7 linked regions of the Nothobranchius furzeri genome follow. The protein of the gene in region 5 purifies or fractionates together with the protein of the main gene of each other region. This does not show direct contact. Links are inferred from orthologs where the notes say so. Each region holds a gene or a part of one and is shown on either strand. Other genes may lie near its edges.

Evidence for each region.
Region 1: the proteins of stx12 (region 5) and synaptosomal-associated protein 23 purify together in Homo sapiens (affinity purification with mass spectrometry; 3 studies listed by BioGRID and IntAct, counting the BioPlex papers as one, with this or other methods). This does not show direct contact. The link is inferred for Nothobranchius furzeri from reciprocal best matches to the Homo sapiens genes STX12 and SNAP23.
Region 2: the proteins of stx12 (region 5) and napgb purify together in Homo sapiens (affinity purification with mass spectrometry; 3 studies listed by BioGRID and IntAct, counting the BioPlex papers as one, with this or other methods). This does not show direct contact. The link is inferred for Nothobranchius furzeri from reciprocal best matches to the Homo sapiens genes STX12 and NAPG.
Region 3: the proteins of stx12 (region 5) and sybl1 purify together in Homo sapiens (affinity purification with mass spectrometry; 3 studies listed by BioGRID and IntAct, counting the BioPlex papers as one, with this or other methods). This does not show direct contact. The link is inferred for Nothobranchius furzeri from reciprocal best matches to the Homo sapiens genes STX12 and VAMP7.
Region 4: the proteins of stx12 (region 5) and stx8 purify together in Homo sapiens (affinity purification with mass spectrometry; 3 studies listed by BioGRID and IntAct, counting the BioPlex papers as one, with this or other methods). This does not show direct contact. The link is inferred for Nothobranchius furzeri from reciprocal best matches to the Homo sapiens genes STX12 and STX8.
Region 6: the proteins of stx12 (region 5) and snap47 purify together in Homo sapiens (co-immunoprecipitation; 3 studies listed by BioGRID and IntAct, counting the BioPlex papers as one, with this or other methods). This does not show direct contact. The link is inferred for Nothobranchius furzeri from reciprocal best matches to the Homo sapiens genes STX12 and SNAP47.
Region 7: the proteins of stx12 (region 5) and stx10 purify together in Homo sapiens (affinity purification with mass spectrometry; 3 studies listed by BioGRID and IntAct, counting the BioPlex papers as one, with this or other methods). This does not show direct contact. The link is inferred for Nothobranchius furzeri from reciprocal best matches to the Homo sapiens genes STX12 and STX10.

Annotation. Positions count from the first base shown.
Region 1 is NC_091758.1:23,397,493-23,401,384, reverse strand, and holds the end of synaptosomal-associated protein 23, read right to left. Parts: intron 2,016-3,892; coding exon 1,871-2,015; intron 578-1,870; coding exon 515-577; 3' UTR 501-514; downstream 1-500. UniProt on the Homo sapiens protein: Essential component of the high affinity receptor for the general membrane fusion machinery and an important regulator of transport vesicle docking and fusion.
Region 2 is NC_091751.1:42,362,737-42,365,040, forward strand, and holds part of napgb (N-ethylmaleimide-sensitive factor attachment protein, gamma b), read right to left. Parts: intron 2,265-2,304; coding exon 2,198-2,264; intron 2,120-2,197; coding exon 2,049-2,119; intron 1,945-2,048; coding exon 1,866-1,944; intron 1,693-1,865; coding exon 1,613-1,692; intron 1,517-1,612; coding exon 1,387-1,516; intron 1-1,386. UniProt on the Homo sapiens protein: Required for vesicular transport between the endoplasmic reticulum and the Golgi apparatus.
Region 3 is NC_091741.1:28,141,947-28,146,073, reverse strand, and holds the start of sybl1 (vesicle-associated membrane protein 7), read right to left. Parts: upstream 2,801-4,127; 5' UTR 2,616-2,800; intron 2,299-2,615; 5' UTR 2,269-2,298; coding exon 2,123-2,268; intron 2,026-2,122; coding exon 1,968-2,025; intron 784-1,967; coding exon 646-783; intron 1-645. Other genes in the region: polr1d (DNA-directed RNA polymerases I and III subunit RPAC2), read left to right, coding at 3,364-3,402. UniProt on the Homo sapiens protein: Involved in the targeting and/or fusion of transport vesicles to their target membrane during transport of proteins from the early endosome to the lysosome. Required for heterotypic fusion of late endosomes with lysosomes and homotypic lysosomal fusion.
Region 4 is NC_091747.1:69,890,227-69,894,467, reverse strand, and holds the start of stx8 (syntaxin-8), read left to right. Parts: upstream 1-1,441; 5' UTR 1,442-1,789; coding exon 1,790-1,806; intron 1,807-2,768; coding exon 2,769-2,868; intron 2,869-2,941; coding exon 2,942-3,036; intron 3,037-3,248; coding exon 3,249-3,359; intron 3,360-4,241. UniProt on the Homo sapiens protein: Vesicle trafficking protein that functions in the early secretory pathway, possibly by mediating retrograde transport from cis-Golgi membranes to the ER.
Region 5 is NC_091751.1:25,527,620-25,531,721, reverse strand, and holds the start of stx12 (syntaxin-12), read left to right. Parts: upstream 1-1,302; 5' UTR 1,303-1,424; intron 1,425-1,499; exon of another isoform or gene 1,500-1,627; intron 1,628-1,967; 5' UTR 1,968-2,008; coding exon 2,009-2,102; intron 2,103-4,102. UniProt on the Homo sapiens protein: SNARE promoting fusion of transport vesicles with target membranes. Together with SNARE STX6, promotes movement of vesicles from endosomes to the cell membrane, and may therefore function in the endocytic recycling pathway.
Region 6 is NC_091751.1:49,578,117-49,582,366, reverse strand, and holds the start of snap47 (synaptosomal-associated protein 47), read right to left. Parts: upstream 2,801-4,250; intron 2,485-2,800; exon of another isoform or gene 2,354-2,484; intron 2,343-2,353; exon of another isoform or gene 2,136-2,342; intron 2,054-2,135; 5' UTR 2,028-2,053; coding exon 1,531-2,027; intron 1,432-1,530; coding exon 929-1,431; intron 657-928; coding exon 256-656; 3' UTR 1-255. Other genes in the region: 2-oxoglutarate and iron-dependent oxygenase JMJD4, read left to right, coding at 2,801-3,053, 3,125-3,290, 3,691-3,816, 3,908-4,175. UniProt on the Homo sapiens protein: Plays a role in intracellular membrane fusion.
Region 7 is NC_091744.1:1,410,056-1,412,329, forward strand, and holds part of stx10 (syntaxin-10), read right to left. Parts: intron 1,617-2,274; coding exon 1,554-1,616; intron 1,421-1,553; coding exon 1,337-1,420; intron 63-1,336; coding exon 1-62. UniProt on the Homo sapiens protein: SNARE involved in vesicular transport from the late endosomes to the trans-Golgi network.

The sequences.
Region 1 (3,892 bases), on a different chromosome or scaffold from region 5:
GAATAATTAAATATGAACTCAAAACAACAACCATACATTTAACGATGGAACAAAAGGAGGAAGTGAGCGGGATAACTAATCGGGTTTGTGTGTTTGGATTTCTTTAGAAACTAGCTGTGATGAGAGCATCTCAGTAGCCACACACACACACACACACACACACACACACACACACACACACACACACACACACACACACACACACACACACACACACACACACACACACACACACACACACACACACACACACACAGACAGACAGACAGGAATAAGAAAACAGCTGACTTTGTGAATATCATGTGATATGTAGTCACAGGCCTGGTGTGTACTCTGTGCTGGGCGCTCAGTCGCTCCCTCTTTGGTTGTCACCGACACAATGCAGCCGCCGCCGTCTCCAGGACCCAGCTCATTAAACAGTGAAAAGGTGTGTGTGCATGTGCAGAAGTGTACAATGTGCATGTACGTAGCAACAGGACGTGATGAGGAAACAGGCAGGAGCAGGATTCTGTGTTTATTTGATGAGCTTGTTGGCTCTGTCGTTCGCTACGTCAATGCGTATTTTGTTCAACTCGGCCTAAAGGAGAGAAAACAGAAGATGTAAACAAACTGTCATGTTGTAGGAATCTGCAAACACATTTAAATAACTTTTCAAAAGCTTTTCTCTGCACAAACGCACATCTTAACACGGATCTGCATGTTTTCCTGAAATCAAGCAGCACAGAGTCGGGGCTTACGTCTCGGCCCAGCCGCTCCGGTCATCACAGGATCGTCGGCTAGCAGTGCCTACACCACGCTCAGGACAATCCAGACTCTTCTCATGCATCGTTCCACAAATGTGGAATGACCTACCAAGCACTACCAGAACAGGGGCTTCCTTTTCGATTTTCAAGAAACTCCTGAAGACCCTGCTCTTCAGAGAGCATCTTCTAAACTAGCACCCTCCCTGCACCCGTCCCCCTCTCTACTGTCCACTCCTTGTTCCCTCCTCTCCATGATTCATCATGCTGCCTCACTGCCACCTACGACTGACTGGAAATTGGTTGTTGTTGTTGTAATTGTTGTTATTAGCCTCAAGGGCAACACGCCGATTATCACTTGTAAGTCGCTTTGGACAAAAGCGTCTGCTAAATACATAAACATAAACAGAGGAAGGTTGCTGATCTAATGAAATAATCAGATGACCAACTATCTCAATATGTGAATTTACAAACATCAGAAAAGCAAAAGTCTGGAACGATTCTCCTCCACATTTCATTGTGTTGTTCAAATTTAGATAAAATTGCCATTTCTTTAAAGTGTTCCGACTGAACACCTTAAGCAAGAAGTCTCCTGGAAAAGTCCTGATCCAGCTTCCGCGTTTGGCCGGTTCATCTCATACTTCCAGGCAAATAATCCTAAAATCCCAGAGGCTGGATGGAGAGCTACTCCGAACCGCCGTCCTCAGGAATCAGCACACTGGCGGGATTTAGGGATTAAAGTGTTGGCTTTGGCTGAGCCACTGCAGGACAGGCAGAGACACGTCCTGAAGTTGGTCCAGAGTTGTCCTGATGGTTTGTCGTCACCCCCCCCCAAACTGTTTGTAATGTGATGCTTCCAGCATCGTGCCTCAGCACAGATGGAGGTTGGTATTAGACCACAGTGGGGTTCTTCTGGGACCACTGGGGACTCTCCTGTGATGATGCACCTTTCATTCACTCTACAGCGCTGATGTGAAACAACTGCTGTGTTTAGTGTCATTTTACAGCAGGTGTTAACTCCTTGTTTGTTTTCCAAAGGAGTAAAATGATGAACAGAAGAATTCACCAACAATAATAACATTTTACGTTATTACTATTGTGCCTATTTAAAATTTTAAAAATGCTCTCACCTTCTCAGTGATGTTGTCGATGTGCACGTTCTGCTTGTCGATTTCGTTGCCCATATTTGTTGCCAAGTCCTTCAGGTTGCTGACGATGCTGCCGACCGTGTTCAGGTTTTCCTCCATCTCATCCTCTCGAGCGTCGTTGGTTATCCTGCACATCAGACATGAAGTTTAACACCTAAGAATCCAACAGGAACGTCACAATCTCACCGTCAGAAGGGCACAAATGGATCTGGCAACCACTGGTTGTGCAAGATGTCCCCCTTAAGAGATGAAAGAGATCTGTAATTGTCATCATAATGTCATTTACATTTCAGCTGTGAGACAGAATATAAACATAAATCACACTGTATGACTTTTACTGCTGTAATGGTGCAGAAAATAAGCAACAAGGAATTCTGTCCCTTACAGAACCTCTTCTATCCTCAACTTATGGCTCCTGTTTAAACCCATTCTCTGTATAAAAGACACCTGCCCACACCTTCAAACATTCAGACTCCAACCTCCACCATGGCCAAGACCACAGAGCCGTCTAACGACACCCAGGACAACATTACACACCTGCGCAAGACGGGGACGAGACAACCTACAATAAGCGAGCTGCTTGGTGAGAAGGGATCAGCTTTTGCTACAATTTTTAAAAAATGAGGGAAAAAATACAATCTCCCTGAACCTGGAAAGGGGAGGGGGGGGGGGGGGGGCACACTGGTCAATGACCTGAAGAGACCTGGAACCACAGTAGAAGAAGAAAGAAGAAAATATCTTTTCTATAGCGCCTCTCAAGATGAAGATCACGAGGCGCTTCACAAAAACAATTGTGGAATTGAAATTAAATGAAAAATTATTGAGAAAATGATTGAAAATTTATTTATAATGAGCAAAAAATTGACAATTGTGATTAAAAAAATGTTAAAGAGAAAATGCATAGGAAAGAGGGAAATCAGTGGATCCTGAGGAAGGTGGAATAGGTGGGGAGAGCAGAATAAAGAGAGTGGTGAAGAAGGTCATACAAAAGCCAGCTTGAACAAGTGAGTCTTCAGCTGCTTTTTAAAGGAGACCACTGAGTCCACTGATCTCAGGCTCAGGGGGAGAGAGTTCCAGAGTCTGGGGGCCACAGCAGCAAATGATCTGTCACCTTTGGTCTTTAGCCTGGTGCTGCACAACCAGTAGGCTTTGATCACTGGACCTCAGGGACCTGCTGGAGGTGTAGGGACTAAGAAGATCACCAATGTAAGATGGTGCTTGTCCATGTAAGGCCCTATAGACCAGAACCAGGATCTTGAAATGAACCCTGAAGTTGACTGGCAGCCAGTGAAGCTGGAGGAGAAGCGGGGTGATGTGGGTGTGTTTGGAGGACTTGGTCAGAAGCCGAGCACAGGCATTCTGAACCACCTGTAGACGGTTCAGGGAGGTTCTGCTCAGACACGTGAAAAGAGAGTTACAGTAGTCTAAGCGTGAGGAGATGAAGGTGTGGATAACTGTCTCAAGTTCAGAGCGAGACAGAATGGGACTCAGCTTAGCAACGTTCCTGAGATGGAAGAAGGAAGAGCAACAAGAGAACTGACATGAGAATCCAGGATGAGAGCTGGGTCAAAGGTCACGCCAAGATTCCTGACAGAAGGTTTGGTGTGAGAAGTAAGCTGACCAAGAGAGTCTCTGACTTTGGGAACCAGCTTGTCTGGGGCACAGATGAGGATCTCAGTCTCATCTTCATTCAGCTGAAGAAAGCTCCCAGCCATCCAGGTTTTGATAGAGTCTAAGCAGGTGTGTAACATCTGCAGCTGAGATGTCTCATGGGGCTTAAAGGAGATGTACAGTTGGATGTCTTCTGCATAAAGATGGTAGGAGATTCCTTTGAAGGAGCTCAGGATGTGCTGAAGAGGAAGCAGATAGAGTAACAAAGGTTACCATAAGTAATACACTTTGTCATCACAGATTTAAAATTCTGCCGTGCTCAAAAGGTCCACCTGCTTATGCCAGTACATGTCCAGGCCCGTCAGAAGTTTGGCAGAGATGATCCAGAAGAGG
Region 2 (2,304 bases), about 17 Mb from region 5:
AATAAAAACAAAAAAAAAAAAATCTATTTATTCTTTCCAGGCTCAAATTTCTCATCACAGAGAGGTCACGGTCCTGCAAAACTAATAAAAACTTTCACAGAAACAAAATATAACAAGTTTAAAATAGGGATGTCCCGATCAGGTTTTTTTGCCCTCAAGTCCGAGTCATTTGATTTTGAGAATCTGCCGATACAGAGTCCCGATCCGATACTTTCGATTCATTTAAAAAAAAAGAAAGAAAAGGAAGAAACTGTTGCAGAATGTTCCTTATTGTTTATTTAATTACCTTTTTATATTAATTTTTAACAACAGATCACTTCTGTGAGGTAGCTTGAACAATCAAGTAATAAATAACATAAATCTTCACTTTTGGACTTCATTGCAAATATAAAAAGTCTCATATAAAAACAGATAGCACTTCAACTTAAAATACCTGGCAGGGGTTTATTTTGCCTCGGCCCCCAAAATGCTTAGATACGTCCCTGGGCATGGGACGGAGTTTTGAAGATGATCTGAATTGTATCAGCTATATAAATACTACATGCTGATAAATTATTGCTTCACACAGGTACAACCGTGTAGTGGGACAAATCTACCTACATTTTATTTTTTTAAGAACTTTGTTTTGTTTTCTTGGTTTTTATTTTCCTTTCTTCCTGTCCCGTCTGTCTCTGATCTTCCTCCAGAAAAAACTCCTGCCTGCTTCCTTCGTTTTCATCTCACAAGTAACTTTTTAATTAGCAGATCAAATTGATCTACTGACCGCAAAAAAGCGGAGTGTGCGCCGTGCTGCCCGGCTGCGCCAGTGACGAGCGCTGCAGCTGCAGCGCGAGCACGTCCACACGTCATGCTCAAATACAGACAGAACTTACCAGAGAGAAAATGAACGGACACGAATGACTGTGTGTTAATGATACATTTTTTGGTGACGCCACTTAGAAACTTAGAAAATGTTACTGTGGCCGTGTGCAGAACGCAGCTGGAGTTCATGAATAATCAGCAATCTGCCTGCCGCTCTCTGCATCTCTGCTCAAAGAATCCCCGCTACGCTGAGTCCATATAAATAATATAAAATAGGTAGAAACTGGATGTTTTTGTGCTCCTTCTGGCTGTGTAAGTTAAGGGCATCAGGGAAGCCTGACAACCTTTAAGGAGAACCAAGTTGCCCTCCTCTAATTTGAACCCAGTATCCAAGTCCGGATCGGGGCTTGGATCGGGAAGTAAAGCACGAGTCCCGATCAGTCTGAAACCACGTGATCGGGGCCGATTTCCGATCATGTGATCGGATCAGGACATCCCTAGTTTAAAACTTGGCTGCAGGTCTCTGATCCAAAGAACCTTGACCAAAATTATCAAACTAAAAAGAAAGTATTTTGTATTACTCACATCATTGTCCATGTACTTGAGTAAAGGTGAGTTGCACACCCGGTAAACCTGATCCTCGTCCTGCTCATCGTAGCCCTGCAGTAGCGTCTCCATGGCAACACAGTCCTCACTCCCGCTGTATCCAGGCAGACTTGAAGAAATTACCGGTAACGTGTGATTTACGGTAAGTGGAAGCAGCCAGACTGAAACACATTCTGAGGGGGAAGCAGGAGGTTCGGAGTCCTACCTGTAACTTTCTCTGACACATTTATCAGCTGCAACGTAGTCGCCTCTGTGGAGATGAACCAGGACCTGAGCGGTTGTTTTCTAACAAAACAGAGTACAAAACGTCTTATTTCTGGTCTGAGATCACAGTTTTGGAACATCATACTAAGGAGTGATCAATGTGTTTGATGAACCAGCCAGCAGATTAATTTCTGACTTTTAGCCACAAGTCAACAGGAAGTTTTAAATGTTATTAAATGTGCAAAACAACTCACTTTAAAACACATTGGAAAGTTTTCAATCTCTTTGTACATGTTCTTCTCCTTCTGCAGGGCGACTGCAGCTTCATCCAGCCTGATCAGGGAGAGAAGAGGGGGGAGCAGGGCGATTCAGAACAGGTACTGTGACTGAATTTTAGGAGGGAAACCTTCAACATGCCATCAGTCTGTCTCCTTTACCTTTTTAACCTGACCAAGAGTCTGGAGGCTTTTCCCAGCAGCTCCACGGCCTGACGTAGACGGTCTTCGTTCTGCAGATGATAAACAGAAAGACATGTCGACTACTTGGAAAACAAAAACAGTAGAGGAGGAAAATATTTGATTCTCACCTCAAACACACCAGCTGCTTTCTGATAAAGATCAACAGCTTTCTCCAGGTTTAAAGGCTCTATCAGTCTGAGGACATAAGATACTTTATTCAGGTGAAATTAAAGAG
Region 3 (4,127 bases), on a different chromosome or scaffold from region 5:
GTGGGCGTCGGACGAGCCCCCGCACCGTAAGAACAAACATCTCAGCTCTAAAGCCGATCTTCATCTGCATACCTCACACGTCACGTGATCAGGAAGCAGAACATCCCTGTGTTAGGAGATCGTTTTGGGCCGCTGCTGTAAAAAAAGTGAGGCGCGAACCGGAAAAGCTTCTGCCGATCACAGTTCAACAACGGATTATGAAAGAACGGATAACGCTCGAAACGCGCGGATTCTTCCTGATGTGAGAGGCGAGTCTCCGCTTTGTTTTGATAGTTTTGGCGCTGACATCATCATACAGCAGAATGTTTGGTGACTCTTAAAAAAACTGTGAAAACGCTGAAAAACGCTGGCAGTGAAGGGCTTTTCTGATCAGGAAACAGCTGATTTAACGCACCCCCACCCCGAGAGGTTTTCTGGAGACTTTGACTTGAACATAAATTCCTTATTAGCTTTTACACTTTTATTCTGGTTTCCTCTACCTTTATGGTCTTGTGCTATTTCACTCATTTCTTTTATTATATCCCTTAAAGACTCTGGTCAGTGACAGCCATTTTTAAACGCGCTTCATAATAATACTTGAATGTTTGACTAACATTTAGTCTGCAAATTTTTTTCTGAATGTCCTCAGCCTTTTGCTGCACCCACCAACTGAGCTGCTAGTGTTGAGGAGAACTCGCTGTTCATGGCGTAGGGTAGAGCTGTTTGAGCTCGGGAGCCGTACGTCGTTTGGAAACGCTTCTTGACTTCACTGAGGAAGCTGAACGCACGTGATCTCTCAAAGTCCTGCCACCAAAAAATAAAAATAAAGTGAGTTAAAACAAACCAAGATTCACTAAAAAGGGTGGAACAGTGTGAGTGTTCTGCTTTAATAATAACATTTTGAAACACACAGATTTGTCTTTTTAATTTTTGCTTGAAAGGAAGCAGACTGACGTTTTCTAGTGGCATTGATCACTAAACCACCAGACTTTCTGACGCTCGTTTAAAGTGTTCTTTTGGACTTTGGTAGATTCTCCACTCATTTCCTCTTCTCATACCTGACCATGACAGGATGTTGTGCAGCATGCTCTTGAAAAAATGAGGAATGTGAACCAATGGGCAAAAGAAGACCTAAAGAACAGCAGGTGTAAAGTACCAAAGCTTTGTTTGAGAAATACTTTTAAAAACAATCAAAGACCTGACAGGACGTAAACTTTTCAGTGTTATTTCGTTATTGATCCATCCATTATCTGAACCGCTTCGGTCTAACTAACTAGGGTCACGGGAGCTGGTGTCTAACCTAGCAGTCATCAGGCTAGTCCATCACACAGAAAGACAAACAACCAGTCACACACTCACTCAAACCTAGGGACAAAGTCTCCAGTCAGCCTTAATGTGAACGTTTTGATTCAGTGGACAATGCATTATCCATGAAAACCCACACATGCATGTGGAGAACATACAAACTACACACAGAAAGGACAGATTTTGACCTTCGACCTTGCAGCGAGGCAACACTGCTACCAACTGCAACACTGTGTTACTTTTTACAGATTATACTAAATAAATGGGAACAAAAATAGTGTCTGTGGCAGGCTGCTGGTAGCAAAGTGCCTAAAGATCCTAACTGGCCCGTTGCCAAGTTGTTTGTTAAACCACAACACAACACCTGTTAGTATCTAAGGCTTTTTTAATGCATGAATGAATTATACGCCACAGATAAATAACTTAAAGCTTAACAAACAGAACCAAAACAATCCTCAGAAATCAGTTCAAAGGAAAAAAAAAACCTGAAAGACTTTAGAATTATTAATCATCCAACTTTAAAAGCGTATGAGAAAGTCTGGCTGTTTTAAAGCAGGACATAAAGAACTACTCAATCTAAATCAGGAGGCTACATGATTAAAAAGATGCATTTTCCTGTGACACTATATATTCGTGAGTAGATAAGTATCCTTATTTGGCAGGTAACGTTGTTGTATACTCACATCATCAGTAATGCACAGGTATATGATTCTGTCATGGCAGATGTAATGAAAGAGATAGCTATAAAAACAAACAAAAAGGAGAAAGTCATTGAGATCTGTCACCAAGAGTGTTTCTGAAACAGCTTCTGGACAGATGCACTGCGTTAGGATTTTACCTGCCGTGGCTGTAGGTCAGCTTGTTGTTCTCTGAAGGAATTTTGGCCAAAATCTGCTCTGTGACTTCCAGGAAGTTCCCACCGCACCAAGCATGCTTCGCCAGAATAGTGGTTCCACGAGCCACCACAGCAAACAGGATTGCCATGGCAACAGCTGGGGGGATTCAGCTATGTACCTGTAGACAGTAAAATTACGGAAGTATAGAGATGGGTGGATATTAGGGCCAATAAAGCCATATGGGCAAGCAGGAGCTTGTTTAAACAAATAAGAAAAATCGTGTTCATCTGAAATATTCAAATACAGGCGAGCAGCCGCCAGCTCGTGTGTTAAACTCAAGTAATTTCTAGAGAGACAAAACAAAAGCTTGGAGAAAAACTAGCTAGCTAATGTTGTTCAACAAAACACAGCTGCGTTAGGGAGGTGTGATGTTACGTTATGTCATGGTAACAAAATAAACCAAACAACCACAGAAAACACAAATAAATGTATTACCTCAATGTGTCAGCGATGCTCAAAGTATCTCGTAGAGTTTTAATAGCCACATAAGCTGTTTGAGCTGCTAGCTAATCCTTTTTGAGTGACTTCTGACTAGCAAAATCAAAAAACCGGAAATGACCTCAACCCACTATTGGGTAATGTAGTTTCTAAAGCCACATTTTAACGCATTTGGTTCTGTTATTGAACTACAATTCTTTTCAGACAAACACGTGACGTTCAACGTCACATGTTTTCATGCGCAATTCTGTTCTGATTACAGCAATAGAAGGTGTGCGTTAAATTGGCCCTTTTGAAAGACTTTCAGGCGAACAAATCGTCCATAAAATTGGTTTGTGGACGTTTTTCAGATCAATAATGTGTTGATACCGTAAAGGAAGAACTACCAGACTAAAACTGTATTTTATTTTTTCAGATAAATTTAAGTATTTGTAGTTTACTCAAATAAAACAAATTATTTACCCAAAATGAACAACTACTTTTGTACAAATAATCTAAAGTTATACATATTTGTTACGAACTCGAACATCTGCTTACCCAAATGTTAAAATATTTAAATAGAATTTAGAAATTTGTTTGCGCTTTACGCCTGTCAGACAAAGATGAGGATCAACAACTCAGGACTGATCAGTGTGACCCATCAAGAGTGCGATAGACCCCCTCCAGCACAGTAGGTGGCAGAAATGCACGTATGCCACCCGCAATACAACACCCGAAGAAGAAGAAGGGGGAAAAAGCCTGAAGCATGGCCGGAGAAATGGAAAAGAAACCAAAGCTTGAAATGGTAGGACATTTTAAAGTGTCACAGTTTACATATAGACCAAGTGATCTTGACGGTAAACCGACTCCACTTGGGAGGAAATGATCGATACATAGGGGCTAAACGTAACCCCTTAAGTTTACTCCTCACGTGGATACCTTCAGTAGCTAGCTAGGTAGTTAGCACGACTCTTCACCTGAACTCAGTCCGTTACTGCAGATTTACGTCGTGCGTGCGAAGCTCACCCCTTTTTTTTATAATGTCGGCCTGTGTATCAGTTCAGTAATAAAATGAGTAATAAGCGTTCATCATAGATACGATAAACATTGATTAATATTTAAAACAGCAAATGTAGACATTAGCTTTTAGAACTGTATTTGAATGTTTACAGGATCCCAAGTTGCGGTTTGATACATGCCTCTGTTTTGACGGTCACGCTTTTGTTTGGGCACAACACAACGGGAAAAAAAAACTTCACCAGATGTTTGTTTCGCTTCGTTTTTTACATCAGAAAGTATTCATCCGGAAGCAGAGTGAGAAAATAACCCTCTTGCTAGGAAGGAGAGTAGCAGGTCATGCACAGCAAGGCAAGACTTGTCTTCTGTTGTCTTCACCGTGAAATAAAATGTCACATTTGACTCTGTATTTAATTCAGTCAGAACTATAAACAGTGTCCTGGAGGAGAAACGGAATGTTCAACTCTAAGAGGCGATTTTGTCTCTCAGATTAAAAAAAAATTACAAAAAGGA
Region 4 (4,241 bases), on a different chromosome or scaffold from region 5:
CCTGTTGCCACGGAGCCCAGATCCTGATCAGATTTTGCGTTTGAAATTAAATGAACATTTCCACAGTTGGAGAACTCTGGCGTCCTTGAAACGTGAATCATCTCAAGTCGTATTATTAGCGGGAAAGGCATCTGGAGAGTAATGTTTCCCCTCTCCACTTCAGAGTGTTATATGAGTCTGAGGTCACATGAGCGAGGGATGGTTTGTTTGTGGTAATTAAGGTACAGAAAAGGGTAAAGTTCCACTGATGTTTCTGTTTTCCACTTTCACAACAGATTCTTTCTGAGAAGACGTTGAAAGCCCCTACAAGGGTGCCATCATCCATTAGAGCCTCTAAAACAACGAATCAGGGCATCAAAAATATCTGGAATGAAGCCAAAACCTGGCCATTTTTGAAAGCTTAACCGCTCTCCAGGGGAAAAGCTCAGGTCTCAGAGGACGATCTGTTTCTCGAAACTTTTTAAAATGTTTTTTTTTCTGTTTCACTGAAAGCTGTTTTCCTTGTTTAGCTCTTGAAGATTTGTTGCCCGCTTTCAAAGTTGGGCTTTTGTTCAAATCTTCTGCAGTTTCTGTCACATGCTGATGACTTCTTCCTGGCTCTTCATAGTGAGCTTTTTGAATGCTTTTGCAGCAGCATTATTGGATTATCTAGGTAAACATGTTTTATTTTCCTGTTTTTTGCACCATGATCCTGTTTTGCCCAGAGATTCTCAGACGTTTATTATGACACGCCTTATTTGTATTTGGAAGTGAATCCAAAGTAAAAACAAGCTGGTCAGAAGGAACGGAATAATCAGATTACAAATGTTACCTTTTCTTTGAAACTGCCTCATATGTGTTACACCAAAATGTCAAGAAAGCCTGTTCCAAGAAGATGTCTGCTGTTTTGCACAACCTGTGTGTGTTTTCATTCAAACAGAACTAGTGTTTGGTTATGAAACATAAAACATCTACAAGCACTCATCTTATACACCCCATGTAGTGGAGCTAAAATTTACCATTTTGCCCCAAAGGAACTTGTTCTGCTGCCCTTCCACTGGTTCTTTGTCACATAGTAAACAAACACATACTAAAAGAAAGAGCTCGAGAACAAGAAAGTTGAAGTGTAGTAAACCAAACACATTAACAGGCAAGTAACATATTTAACTTATGCTAATGTTGCTTATGTTTAATTAGGACTCTTGTTGAAACTCTGCACCATATTCAGGACCACCTTTAATACCTGCGTTAATACCTGTGACATCTTTAACCCTTCCACTGTGCTAATGGGTGTGACCCGCGAGGAAAGTTGACCATTGAGCAGGGTTGATGGTTTATCCCTTGGGTCCATGTGGCAGGGGTGAGGAGTGAGCACCACCTCACCCCAGCCACGTGGACCTCAAGGGATAAACCATCAGTCCTGCTCAGTGGTCAACTTTCCTAGCGGGGTCACCCATGAAGACAGTGGGAGGGTTAAACGTTGAGCTGCTTCTCTCTGGTTAGCAGGTCATGATATTCTGCCTCCTGGTAGCTTCTGACTGCATTCTGATGGGAGAAGGTTGAGGTTAAATGGTTGATTTAATGGTGTTTTTGTATATTTAATAATTTATTCTTAGTTAATTCAACTGGTAACTTGCTTATTTATTTCTTTTTGTTAGTTAGTGGGTTTTGATTTTCTTTCTGGAGTACATTGGTCCTCGCCGCGTTCCGTAGTGACGTCGCATCCAAAACAAGTGAACGCTACCGGGTTCGGTTTGTTGGTGATTTAAATTCTGCTCTGCTGGGGTTATTAGTTTTTTTTTTTGTCACAATGTCTCAGGACCCCTGGTAGGTAAACCCTTCCGACGCTAAAACAAGTCGTCTCGGGTTTGTTTTGAACTGCATGTTCCGTTTCTTCGCCTGGAATCTGATTTATGTCACAAACCAGCGGAGGCGCTAGCTAGTCCCTTATCGGCGTTAGCCGCTGGATAAATCTATTACGGCTGTGTGTTGGTTTATTCTTAACACAGGTCTTTTTACGCAATTCAAATCATAAAAATGGAGTAATACAGGAACTGTGATGTCATAAATATAAAACAACTTTAAACTGCATGTTGTTAGAGAGGAAAGCGGTGCAGTCAGCTGCTCTCGTTGATAAAATCTTTCCTGTTTTCGTCATGTGAGTTAGTGTCAAGGAAGTGGCTATTTCTATCGGTACAGGTAACCATGGTAACTAACATGTTAACACATATGTCTGTAGTTTGGGCACTTTTAAGTGCCCCAAATTTCTGTAAAATTAAAAAGATTAAAAAAGCTGGGAGCTCTTTAAATGTAGATTGTCAAACATCTAAAATTACTTAGATGACGATAATTTGTAAGTCCGTGTACCAAAAATGTGTACGTTTTAATCCCAAACTTTGGCCACGTTTATAGTTTAATGGACTTTTCATTGTTTTAATCCAAGATATGTAAATGTTGCTAACCTATTCTTAGCTTACTTACTCGGTTCATGAACACAAACCCTGTAGAGTTGTGTTATTAAACACTACGAAACCATCATGTCCTTAAACCTACTTTTATGATCTGGCTTTTAATTCTGTGAGTTAGCAATTGTTAGTGTTTTATATTTTGTAATTCTCATTTGTGGTTTTAATTATGTCTGTAGCGTTGTATGTTTTATTGTTTTACTCTTTTGTTGTACAGCACCTTGGTGGCATGCTCATGACTGTAAGGTGCTTTATAAACAAAGACTGAGTTGAGTTAAACGGCAGCAAGTGATTTATGCTCTGGACGTTTTTCTACCCTGCTAGGTTGCAGAATTATGATGCCACTTGTCGCCTGGCACAGGAAGTTGCAGAAAACATTCATGAAAGGAACAGGCAGCAGAGAACAGGGGGGAACCCAGCCAAGGTAATTCTGCGTGTCACCTAAATAGACCCGGTGGAGGCTTGTTCAGCACTGATCCTGTGATCTGACTCTGCAGATTAACATGACGCTACGGGCATCGCTCCAGAAACTAAAGCAGAATATTTCCCAGCTCAGAGAAGGCTTGTTGCGAATTTCCTCATCCCGACGCATGTATCCTTTTCCCCAACAATGTGACCAACTCCCAGAGTCATGAGACTGAGATTTACAGGCAAGCCTGAAGTCTTGTTTATGATTGCGGAGACACTCATTGGCCTGTAGATGGCAGTAGAGTTATGTTAAATGGAACCTGAAAAATGAAACCTGTCAGAAACTTCAACTTCCACCATTAAATCAACCATTTAACCTCAACTTGCTCCCATCAGAATGCAGTCAGAAGCTGATAGGAGGCAGAACCTTATTGATGACCTGCTAACCAGAGAGAAGCAGCTCAACGCAACATTCAAAGGAGATGCCACAGAGCCCGAACCTACTAGGTATTAACATCCTAAAGGTGGTCCTGGATATGATGGAATCTAAAACTTCTATACAATGAATATGACAAGCAGAGTATGGAGATTGTACATCTATTTTTATTCATAATGTCCTAACTGTCCACATTTTATTGATGTTGGTAAAAAAAAAACTTAAAATACAGGTTAATTAATTAAAAATCTTGTTTTTACATGTAGATTTCAGTCTAATATGTTGATTGGAGGTGAAAGGACTAGTTTGTATTTACAGCAGGTTTGCCCCACCAGAGCTCCGTTCACATTTTATCAGGATTTTTTAGGATGATTAATCTGGTACGTCACTTCCCTATCCTGATGTGTTTTATGTAATATTTGTTCTCCCTACCATGGACGTAATTTTCACTTTAGAAGTGTGTGTGTGTGTGTGTGTGTGTGTGTGGGGGGGTATCTTTACAGTATGCTCTAATGGGAAACAGACTTCAAAACAAACGGTTGTTTTCCGCTTGGTCCTAGAGCTCAACCAGTGTCAATGTAATATAGCGTAATGTTGTTTTTGGGTGGTAAAAAGTGCAGGGGTCAAAACTTGACTTTGGAAAAAGTGGGGGGGGGGGGGGGGGGGGACATGTCCCCCCTGTCCCCCCCAAAAATTACGCCCATGCTCCCTACATTTCTCTAGGATTAGGAAAGTTCTTGTTCCGAACTTGCTATGTTTAATTTTGTTATTTTGTGACCTTTAAAAGCTTCACTCTGTGGCTTCTCAGTTAAAGACGCTACTGGTCAGTGAGTTTCTCCGGTAGTCTTTGCGTATCCATGGTGACCCCTGTGCTGTGACCTCACTGAGTGCTATCACTTGGACAGAAATCTGCTCATCGTTCTGACAGCTTGGCGTCTAATTCCTTTGTTTTA
Region 5 (4,102 bases):
ACTGACAGGGGCGAGGCTGCCGAGCACAGGCACCACCGGTCCATCCGACCACCACCAGCAGGCAAGGTGGGTTGAGTGTCTTGCCCAAGGGCACAACAGCAGAGTTCTCTGTCCGGAGCCGGGATCGAACCTGCAACCTTCCGATTACTGGACAACCCGCTCTGTTGAGCTACTGCTGCCCCAATGTAAACACTGTGAATAATCTACTAAATACTAATGGCGAAACATTATCCCACAAAGTCTTCTTAGAAAAATATAACATTAATACTTCACAAGAAGAGTATAACATGGTAATTAAATCCATCTATGTTTGTATTTTCTATTTAACACAGACCATACAATCAAACATCATCTTATCTGCAACAGCCAGACCTCCAACTATTTCTGGGATTCCAATCACAGATAAGAAATTTAATAATTCTGTTATTAGAAAAGTAATTGATCCTGTCTCAACCCCGATATGTAAACACTGATGGACTTTTATGAATACAAAACTCTGGAACAGGATCTTTCTGCTACCTCACCAATATGTTATTGTGAATAAGATAAAAGAAATTTGATTCAAAATTGTTCATAGATATTACCCGTCAAAAGCAAACATCTGTATTTTTTTCCAAATGTTTCTGACATATGTACTTTCTGTGGTTGTAAGGGAGAAACTATTGAACATGTTTTTGTTGATTGCTTTCATGTAACTTTGTTTTGGTTCCATTTAAAAAGATACATTTCCAAAAAGTTACAAAAAAAATATTTCTTTAAGCAAATATGAAATACTTCTTATTGTTACTAACCCTCATTTATCATCCAATGAAAAATACATAATTAACTTAGTCATTATTTTAGCAAAATATTATTTACATAAAATGATTTTTCAGAAAAGTATCCCCTTCTATAATTTCAGAATTACAGACCTTATGAAATATTGGAACAGCATTGAAAAATTAAAAATGAAGAACAACAAACTAACAAAGACCATCAACTTATTTCATCATTTCAACTTAGACACAGCAGACCCCTAAGTGTTATGTTTCTAAGTTATATATGTTTTCGTCAGTTTTTTTTATTTCTTGGTTTTTTGTTTAATAGTTTCCTAATGTTGCATGTATATTATTGCAATTCTAAACAACTGTAAAATGTGATCCATGGATTTATTGAATGTGTTTTCTGAATAAAACCTGTAAAAAAAATTAATAAATTAAAAAAACACCACGGACCAGGAAGTAGGTTTGGCTCTCTGACCTATGATTGGAGGCCGTGATAAAATGGGTGGGACGCTGCATTGTGATTGGTTGAGCTGTTGAAGTAGCATCCTGGTATTGGTTGTTAGGGTGTGTTGGTCTGTGAGGTCTTAGCGCTAATGCAATATAGCATCAACCTAACGGAGGACGAGTCATCTACGCCCATGTATCGATTTCAATACATTAGTAAGCAAATTACAGCATGATGCCTTGTTTTAATGTAGAATTTCGTCTTTGTTTTAATTGACCACGCTCTGCGTGTCCAGTTTACGAGCAGTTTTTACTGTAAAAAGACGAAAGTAGACAAGTTCGCCACCGTTAGCCTAAAACGAAGGTTTAGCTTCTCCGTTCTACCAACACAACGCTAGCTGAGCTAAACAGATACGACGGTTTGTTGAAGTGTTCCGTTCCTTATTGTTATTGATTAATTATGGGGTTAATTTAAAGGCGTTTAAACAGCAAACTGGTCTGTTCGCTAACTCGGTGTTCGGACATTTGTTTACATTTACATTTAGTTTAACTGCTTAGCGGTGATAAATAAGTGATAATCTGACTTGATTGGACCTTTGAGCTCATTACTGAAATAATCAAACGTCATTCATACGCGTGACAGAGTCAAAAAGGGAAACGAGTTTAAATCTTTAGACCCTTAAAACTTACTTAAACCATTATGTCGTTAAGCCAAATCGTTCAATAATGCAATGTTTATTGTTCCATTTTCTTTTGCAGTTCCAGTTTAACGTGTCAGGAAGCTCCTAACAGTCGCAAACATGTACGGAAAAGCGGAGTTCCGCCCGGTTCACATGGACTTCAGCTTTCTCATCCAGTCCTGCAGCTCAAACATCCAGAAGATCACACAGAACAGTAAGAGGTTTCTCCTGTTCCTCGCGCTTCAGCCTGGTGGGAAATCACATGCCACATGGTCACGTGATGACCATGTGAATGAGCTTTATAGCCTGTTTGTTATCCCCACGGTATTATCCACTGATCATCATCTCTCCAGGGTCGCACTTCAGTCTTTTTGGCTTCTTTAATGTTATTTCTTCAGAGGTGTGAACAGCAGGTCTCTTGATGAATGATCAGTTTCTCGTTTTACAACAAAATTATTTAATAATAAGGGGGGAGTGAGTATGTAACAGGGTGTGGTGTCACTTAATTATTATTAACAATTACTAATAATTATGAGGGGAATTTTTTTTTGTGTTGTTACTGATGTCTGTTGTCCCTCTGGAGTGCTGCAGGAGTACACACAGGGATTTATGGGGGTTGGATGAGGATAATGAAAGAAAGAAAGTAAATCAGTGTTTTGTGAACTGTTTAATTTGACATAAACATGGCAAACATGCTTTCTTGTCATTGTGTGTGAAAAACAGTGTAGAAATAAAAACAAACGACATGTGTTAATAGAGAAATAGCTGGCAAGCCGTGCTGACGCATGACGCATGCGCCGTGAGCGGTTTTGGTACTTTTTGGGTTGCAGCCACTCGCAGCGCTGCTTCAACCCTCACGAGGGACGAGCAAAATATCAAACATGCCAGAAATCAGTGCGAGCTCACGATTGCTGATAGGTAGCTGGTCACGTGGTGTTAATTGCCTCTCGTAACCACCTGTATACTACACGACGCTCTGCACAAAACTTGCCCCGATCTTGTAGATTCTCGCACGAGGGGAAAATCGGCTCAAAAAAGTGAAAGAGTCGCACAGTGCCCGCCTGGCTTAAAGGAACAAATATGATTTTGTAGTTCAAACAACAATGCTAAATATGTTAATTTACATTTGAGAACATTACCTCATGTCCAGTTGAAACTGGTATTGTTTAATGAGTATTGTATTGGTTTTCTCAATGACAGGAAATTGAAACATTGATATAATTTGCTTTTCGTTAAGACAAAATCGATATCGGCAAGTCAGGTTTTTCTCAAGATCGGTGATTGGCCAAAAACTGCAATCGGTGCACCCCTACTTCTCACTTTTTGCAGGAAAACCTAAGTGATATAAAGCTGATTTCTGTGTTTTAGTTCCGTCAGCGGGCTAGCATGTCCAGCTTTTCTGAGAAAGTACGACTTGAAAATGGAATACTTCCTGAGACCAAATCCATTCATCCCGTTCCATCAGCCATTGTGGGCATAAAAAATAAGTAACATCAAAAGTATTAATGTGCATGGCTCACAAGAATGTGTTTTGCTAGCGACACTTGGTAGAGATAGCTTCTCTCAGACCGTCGGACCAATCGGAGGACAAAAAACCCCTGATGTCACCGTGAGCCAACTACCTGGCTCAGCGATGTGATTCTGAAAGCTCACTGGTTAAAAAAACCAGATCCCATAGTAGAGGTTAACCAATGTTGGATTTTCTATTACTGATGCCGATAAGCAGAGCTAATGGTCAGCTGATGGCCGATATCTAGACATCAGTTGATACACAAAATTTCTGAAGCTAAATCAGTTTTTGAACTTGTAATTTAACCAACTGTTAAACCTTAATTTTGTGCACGGCTCAGTGTTAAAATCAGACATCTAACTCAAGTGAATCAAACAAAATTATTTGTTATGCAGAAGTTACTCAGGAACATAACTCTGCAGCAGCACCAGGCTGCCTGAGGATGTGCCTGACTTTAAATCTGCTTTACTAAGGAGATACTGTATATTGGCATTGGGCGATAAATCACTCTACCACTACTATATGGTATAACTAACAAAGGCCCGTTCTACTGATTCTGAACGCTTTGGGCAGATTGGACTCTCCCTGGCATCAATAGAGGCTGAAATCTGATTGGAAGAAAAATCCAGATGTAGAGGACACGGTGTCGGTACAGGATCGGCTCGGGGTCCTTCGACTGCCGATGACGTCACATTACTGCAAAT
Region 6 (4,250 bases), about 24 Mb from region 5:
AAACAGAAATAGCAACACTAAACAGTTTTTAACTATTTAAGCCATTGCTTTCAAATACTAGTGTGGGTTGGTGCAGTAGGGGGATAGCTATTATAAAGGCTAGCAGTTAGCATTTTCAGTTTAATAAAAACACAAGAAGAAGAAGAATTTTGCGTTTTCTTGGCGGAGCCTGGAAGTATGCTAATGTCTTTGGATGCAAAGCAAAGAGCTATAACCAGAGTGATTATTGGTGTGGGTTACTGAAGCTAAAGGATGCTATGAAATTACAAGATGGTGACCTGGCTTTGTTGTTACTGAACAACAAATATGATTATTTTTCGTCCAACAGTGTTGATCTTTTAACTTTCTGATTTGTTTTAGTATCAGTTGGGGTTCAGCTGCACCATGTTTCAACACAGAGAATTCAGCAGGAGGTGAAAATAGCTTCAGGCAACAGAATCTGGAGTCTTTACACAAATTTCTTTCACAAATTAAAAGCAGCAGCAGTGCTACTTTGTTTTTAAACCGGCTATGAAAATCCAAGTTTCTCACCTGCTTGAGTTCCTGCGCCTCAGCCTGACTGACAGATGGCTGGAGGGCTTGCACCTGCAACTGGGACAGCTCACCTGCTGGGACCTCCAGTGGGAGCTCAGACTCTCGGCTCGTCTGCCGTAAACCTGATTTCCATGGGTGGAGATGGTGAGGAAGTGTGAAGTGCAAGCAGTGTGTTGTTTATACGTAAACCAGACAGTAAACTCAAAATACAGCAACTAAAGCAGTCAAGGTGAAGTGACTCATCAAAATACATTTCTGTGAAAGAGAAACACCAATAACCATGATGAAATGTTTTAACATGTGGTTGCTTAGAAATATGCTCTTTGCTGCCACCCGGTGGTAACATGTAGAATAAGCATGGGTAATACACAAAGATTCACCTGACTGTTCTTACCTTCTCTCCAGTGTGTCCCTTCTTTGCCACAAACAGATGAACATGGAGTTGCCTTGAAAGTGGTGTATTCACTTGTAAACTCTACCTTCTTCTTGTATTGCATCTCCAAAACAGACAAGGCTTCTGGCATCTTTGCAGAAAGAAACCTGTAACATATATCTGGTTTCCCAATGAACCGCTGTCTCACTGTGATCTCATAGGAATTGCACACCCGTATTTCATCAATCTCGTTCCTTTCGAATTTGTGTAGGAGTTGGCAATTTGTGTCTCGCACCTCCAGTGAGGACACCAGCACTAGCAAACATCCAGGTTTCAAGTCAGAGTCTCCACCTTTGGACACCACCGCTGGGATGCTTGTGATCACCTTATTCCTGCTGGAACCCTTGCCTGCTGAGAGGACAGCTGCAGCTCTGGCAGCGTCTTCAGCCTTGGCCTCTTGCTGAGCCTTCCATGGGAATTTGCCAAAAGGCCACCAGGGTGGGGACTCCAGTTCTGACAGAAGTCTGCAATACAGAGTATTGAGAAACACATGTAAATAAATGCAGCATCATCAAGACATAAAAGAGCAAAACTCAATTCTAAAAAGACTTTTGAATAATTACTTGTCAGCAACGCCCAGATCGGAGTCAATCTTCTCCAGTCCCTGCATCATGTTGTCAAACTGCTCTCCCTGATGGCTGAGGACTCTGCCCGTGTCCTCCAATCGTCTCTGGGCCCCCGTCACTAGGTTGATCAGTTCTCTCCCCTTAGAAATCTGGCACTCAGCCCCTTGAGCCTCTGAAGTGGGAGACAGAAGACGCTCTCTCCAGAAATGTTCCAACACATTATAAACAACCACTCGGTTGGGTTTAAGGGAACCAAACCAGTGCTTCACGTTGCCTTCCTCAAGCACCGTCAGGGTGCTGAAGATGAAACTAGACGACTCCATCTTGATCTCGATGATACATGACAGACGGAAACTGACGAGACAGTTCTTGCTGAGGCTTGAAACAAAGCACACCATGGTTCTGGAGAGGGACAGGGTTCCACTCTCCCACCGCTTCTCATTGTTGATGTAATAGGAGCCAGGCCAGCTGTGGATGGGAACGTCCCGGCTCATCTTAGGGAGGAAATGTTAAATTCCACCTGGTACAAAGAAAGACAGGACTGAGCGCTCACATGGAGATGATTCCCTTATATTTATTTAGTTATATCATAACTGACGGACCTGTTTGTGCCTTGGTAGTGAACATACTTTTTTCAGAATAAGCCATGCAGCAGATGAGCTCAGATGACACGTTCAAGCAGACAGGTTAAGCTATTTATCCGCATCACCAAAGTGAATTTAAGACAACTGAACTTTAATATATCTTTGCAACTTCCTGCTCGTAAAATAGAAACCTCCCCACAGCTAAAAGACCGCCAACAAGTAAAACATGACGTTACCTCGCATTCTTCTTGGTAGCTGTTTATCGTGGAAGTGACGTCACACCGGTACGGTTGGATTTATTGTCCGACTTAAGCACTTCCGGTTGAGACTAAAACATTCAAACACTAATCGAGTGCGGTGTGTGAACGATTTGAATTAAGCGGAATATTTGCATGATAATTGAACATAACGTTGGTATACGAAACTTGACATAAACAGAAACTGCGCTGATATATTTGCGATGCTAGGGAACCATAGGACTTTGACCTGTTGTCGGAGTAACTTGTATATGAAAAATCGTTTATTTTATATTTAGTTTGGCCTTAAATGAGACCTACTTACACCAATGTCATTTTTATTCTTCTGTCTTTTTTTCTGTCTGTTTCTGGATGTCCATACAGTAAACAAGGAGAAACATCATTAGCTAGCTTGCTAACCAGCTAGCCGGGCTCTTGTTTACAAACATGGACAGAGAGGCGTACCGCAACTGCTGCAGCCTGGTCAAAATACCAAGTCAGTCCTACGAACTGTTCTGGTCATCGCATTTTGTAGACTACATCGACAAGGACCTGAGCTATTCCAAATTTTTCAAGAAATACCTGCTAGCGAATCACCCATGCATGTTCTCGAGAAAGTTCACAGAAGGCTGGAAGTGCAGAAAACAGTGGGTGACTGAGGAGGGTAAACCTAATTTCCAAAAGCTGCTACAAGAGTTTGGTAAATACATTTAATTTTGCATGCACCATGATTTCAAATCACGCGTATTTACGCTTATGTTTCATTCACAGATGAAACTCCTGTCCCTGTTGCAAACTGCAATGCAAAGGAATACAACGCCAACCCCAAACAAGTAATGCCTTTTAAAGAATTTATACATTACTGGAAGGAATACATTCAAAATGGACACTCCTCACCCAAAGGATGTCTCTATCTGAAAGACTGGCATATGTCAAGGTATGGTGCATGCGTTTTTCTATTGCACAGCTTTAAAATGTGAAGAATATAATATATAAAAAGGAATTTCACAATAATAAAGGCTAAAACATGCATGCTGGGTAACCTGATCTGCTAAATGAACAAACATAACACCGTTTTGCAAGGGTCATAAGCAGTGTGTATTGACCTGACACGAATTAAGTTTGATCTTAAATGTTTTGTTCATTCTAATTTATTAACAAAAAATTTAATTGTATGATCTATTTACATAGAAAATTACAAATGTGCATTCTAAGCGCATATGCATTCGGGTTTTTTTTCAGTTATTTTTTAATAGCAGTATTATTTTAAATGTTTTGTTTTGACATAGTTCAGGTTACTGTATATTTTCCTAATTCCTTTTTATATTATGCAACAGGGACTTTCCTGAACATAATGTTTACACAACACCAGTCTTCTTCTCTTCTGACTGGCTTAATGAATATTGGGATACACTGGAGGTGGATGACTACCGTTTTGTCTACATGGGACCTAAAGGCTCATGGTATGGAAAAGATAAAACAATACAGGTAAAACTCATAATATACTAATGTTTCGTTATTCTATTCGATCCACTGCCTTTTTGTTGTGTCCAGGACTCCGTTCCACGCCGATGTGTTCCGCTCCTACAGCTGGTCCGCAAACATTTGTGGTAGGAAGAAGTGGCTGCTTTATCCTCCTGGTCAAGAGGATTTTTTACGAGACACTCATGGCAACCTCCCTTATGATGTCACATCAGCTGAGCTTCAGGATGGAAACCTTTTCCCACAGTTTGAAGAAGCATGCCAGCCTCTTGAAATTATCCAAGAGGCAGGTGAAATAATTTTTGTGCCGAGTGGCTGGCACCATCAAGTTTATAATCTGGTGAGAACTGAGCCGCAACAAAAAATGTTTGCTAATGAATAGAAAACATTGTGCTATGTGTGACAGATGTAGCTG
Region 7 (2,274 bases), on a different chromosome or scaffold from region 5:
TTTAGGACTCTGATGCTGCCCGTCACCAAATCCAGCTGTTCATCCTGCTCCTGTATTATCAACTTCACACACACACGCACACACGCACACACACACACACACACACACACACACACACGCACGCGCACGCGCACACGCACACGCACACACACACACACACACGTTCAAAACTCAGGATTCCCCCCAGAAAACTTGCTAAGCCCAGCGAACTGTGATAGCGCGGGTGTGTGTGTGTGTGTGTGGGGGGGGGGGGGTCGTTTGCTACTATGCCTCGTCCGTGAAGGGGGGATTGCGCTCGGATTGTTCTGCTACCAGGAGAGGGCGGGCACTTGGACGCCTGGCCTGGCGGGGTAAAAAGCAGGGCTTATGAAGGTCTGGAGGAAACCCTGAAACTTCAAACTTCTTCATTCTCATATTTACAGACCAGCGCAAATTTGAAAACATGAGGTCTGCATCGTTTCACACCAAATCAACGAGCCGCAAACAGAAAAAGAAAATCAGTAAGAAATAAAGATATTACTGTTGTTAAATCACAAAGGTTTGAACTAGCTGTTGGGTTTTTCTTCTCATTTTGTACCAAAACCCACAACCTGACAGGATGTGTGACGGGACGCTTGTATCACTCACCACTGCAGTCAACCCACAGCACAGGAAGCACAAACTAAACCTTCATTCAACCCGACGCAGAAGACTCCTTTTCTTTATTGAGAGAACACGGAGCCATGCTAACCTGCAGAATGAGCCCAAAGCGCTCAGATCATCTTTATTCGACACGTAGCCGACGCATTTTCTCTCCCTTTCCTTACATTTTTTATCACTATTTTTTTCCTCATTTAAACATGCTTCTCAATCATTTTTTAAATCTTTTTTGTATTTACATTTTTTGGTTTTTGTGAAGCGCCTGGTGATTTTTATCTTGAGAGGCGCTACATAAAAGATCGTTTTCTTGCTTTCTAGCATTAACTCCCAAGCTTTATTGTGATTGGATTGTTTGATTTAAACGTTTCACAAATCAGATTCAATAGGATTTTCTCCAAGAACTCAGTTTCATGGCACTCAGTCATTATTTAGTTGATAAAAATAAAAGCCAAAACGCAAAATGAGCATAAAAAAACTATCATTAAATCATGATATAGAAGCCTTAAGACATATTTAGCAGCAGTAACCAACTTCTATAGAACCTCAGCCCCTTCATTCAGCAGAATTATCATTTTAAACCCTAAAATTCCCACAAAAAACACACAAAGGTACCCACCCCCCATTTATTATATAGCTTTTTTCCGTTTTAAATGTTGCTTTAATACTCGAGCTTCTTCTCTTCCTCTCATCCATCTACCTGTTGCTGCTCCTGTTGCTCCTGAATGTATCTGGAGTTGGCCGACACCAGATGAGCCTCCAGTCCTGTTGATCGTTCTTGGCCCTTTGACGTCAGCCCGAAAACACAAACAGAAGACACGGTCAACGGATTCCAACATACAGAGACGTACAGGGAGCTGAATCTTTACAAAGTGTGTGTGTGTGTGTGTGTGTTCTGCATTTAAGGGTTTTCTCACCTGCTTACTTTTCTTCTCAGCCTGAGCAACGGCAGAGGGACTGGACAGCTGATCTTTCATCTCCTGCCATCCCAACACAAGACAAAAACGGGTCACAATAGGGACAGGTAAAGCCCTGCTGGGTCTAAACGGCCTCATTAATGACATTTTCTGTTGCTTTGGTCAGAATCTGCTGTCGGAAAGCCAAAATGTCAAAAAGTGGTTTGTTCCCTCTCAGCAAAAGTCGAGTGACTAAGTCCTGCTCGGGTTCCTTTACAGAGACGGACTCCTATTATCTGTGTGGACAGACGGACACTCATTCAGCTTCAGGCATCAAACCATCGGGCCTGGTTACAATAAAAACAACAGTGAGAGCAAATTAAGTTTTGTTTTCCTTGAAGGCGGAAGCTTCAGCTTGTGTTCGTCCCAGCAGGGCCTCGGCTGCTAAAACACATAAAGACCTTTCTGATAACAGGGTGCTTTCCTCAGCTCAAACAAACTGACTTGAAGGAACTGAAAATCTAAATTTACTGTTTAAAATCAAATTTAAAACACACATTTACATTACTGAAACCCCTCTCACTTTTATGAACTTGTTTTTAAAAAACATGCACAAGTAACCGTACAGGGAGCCCAAGTCACACCCATCTACTTCTGCACCACGGGGCCCCAGAAGAACGAGAAATAAAATAAATGCAAGTCAACGGGGCTAAAAACGCTATTTTCCAATTCTGCTTGTTTT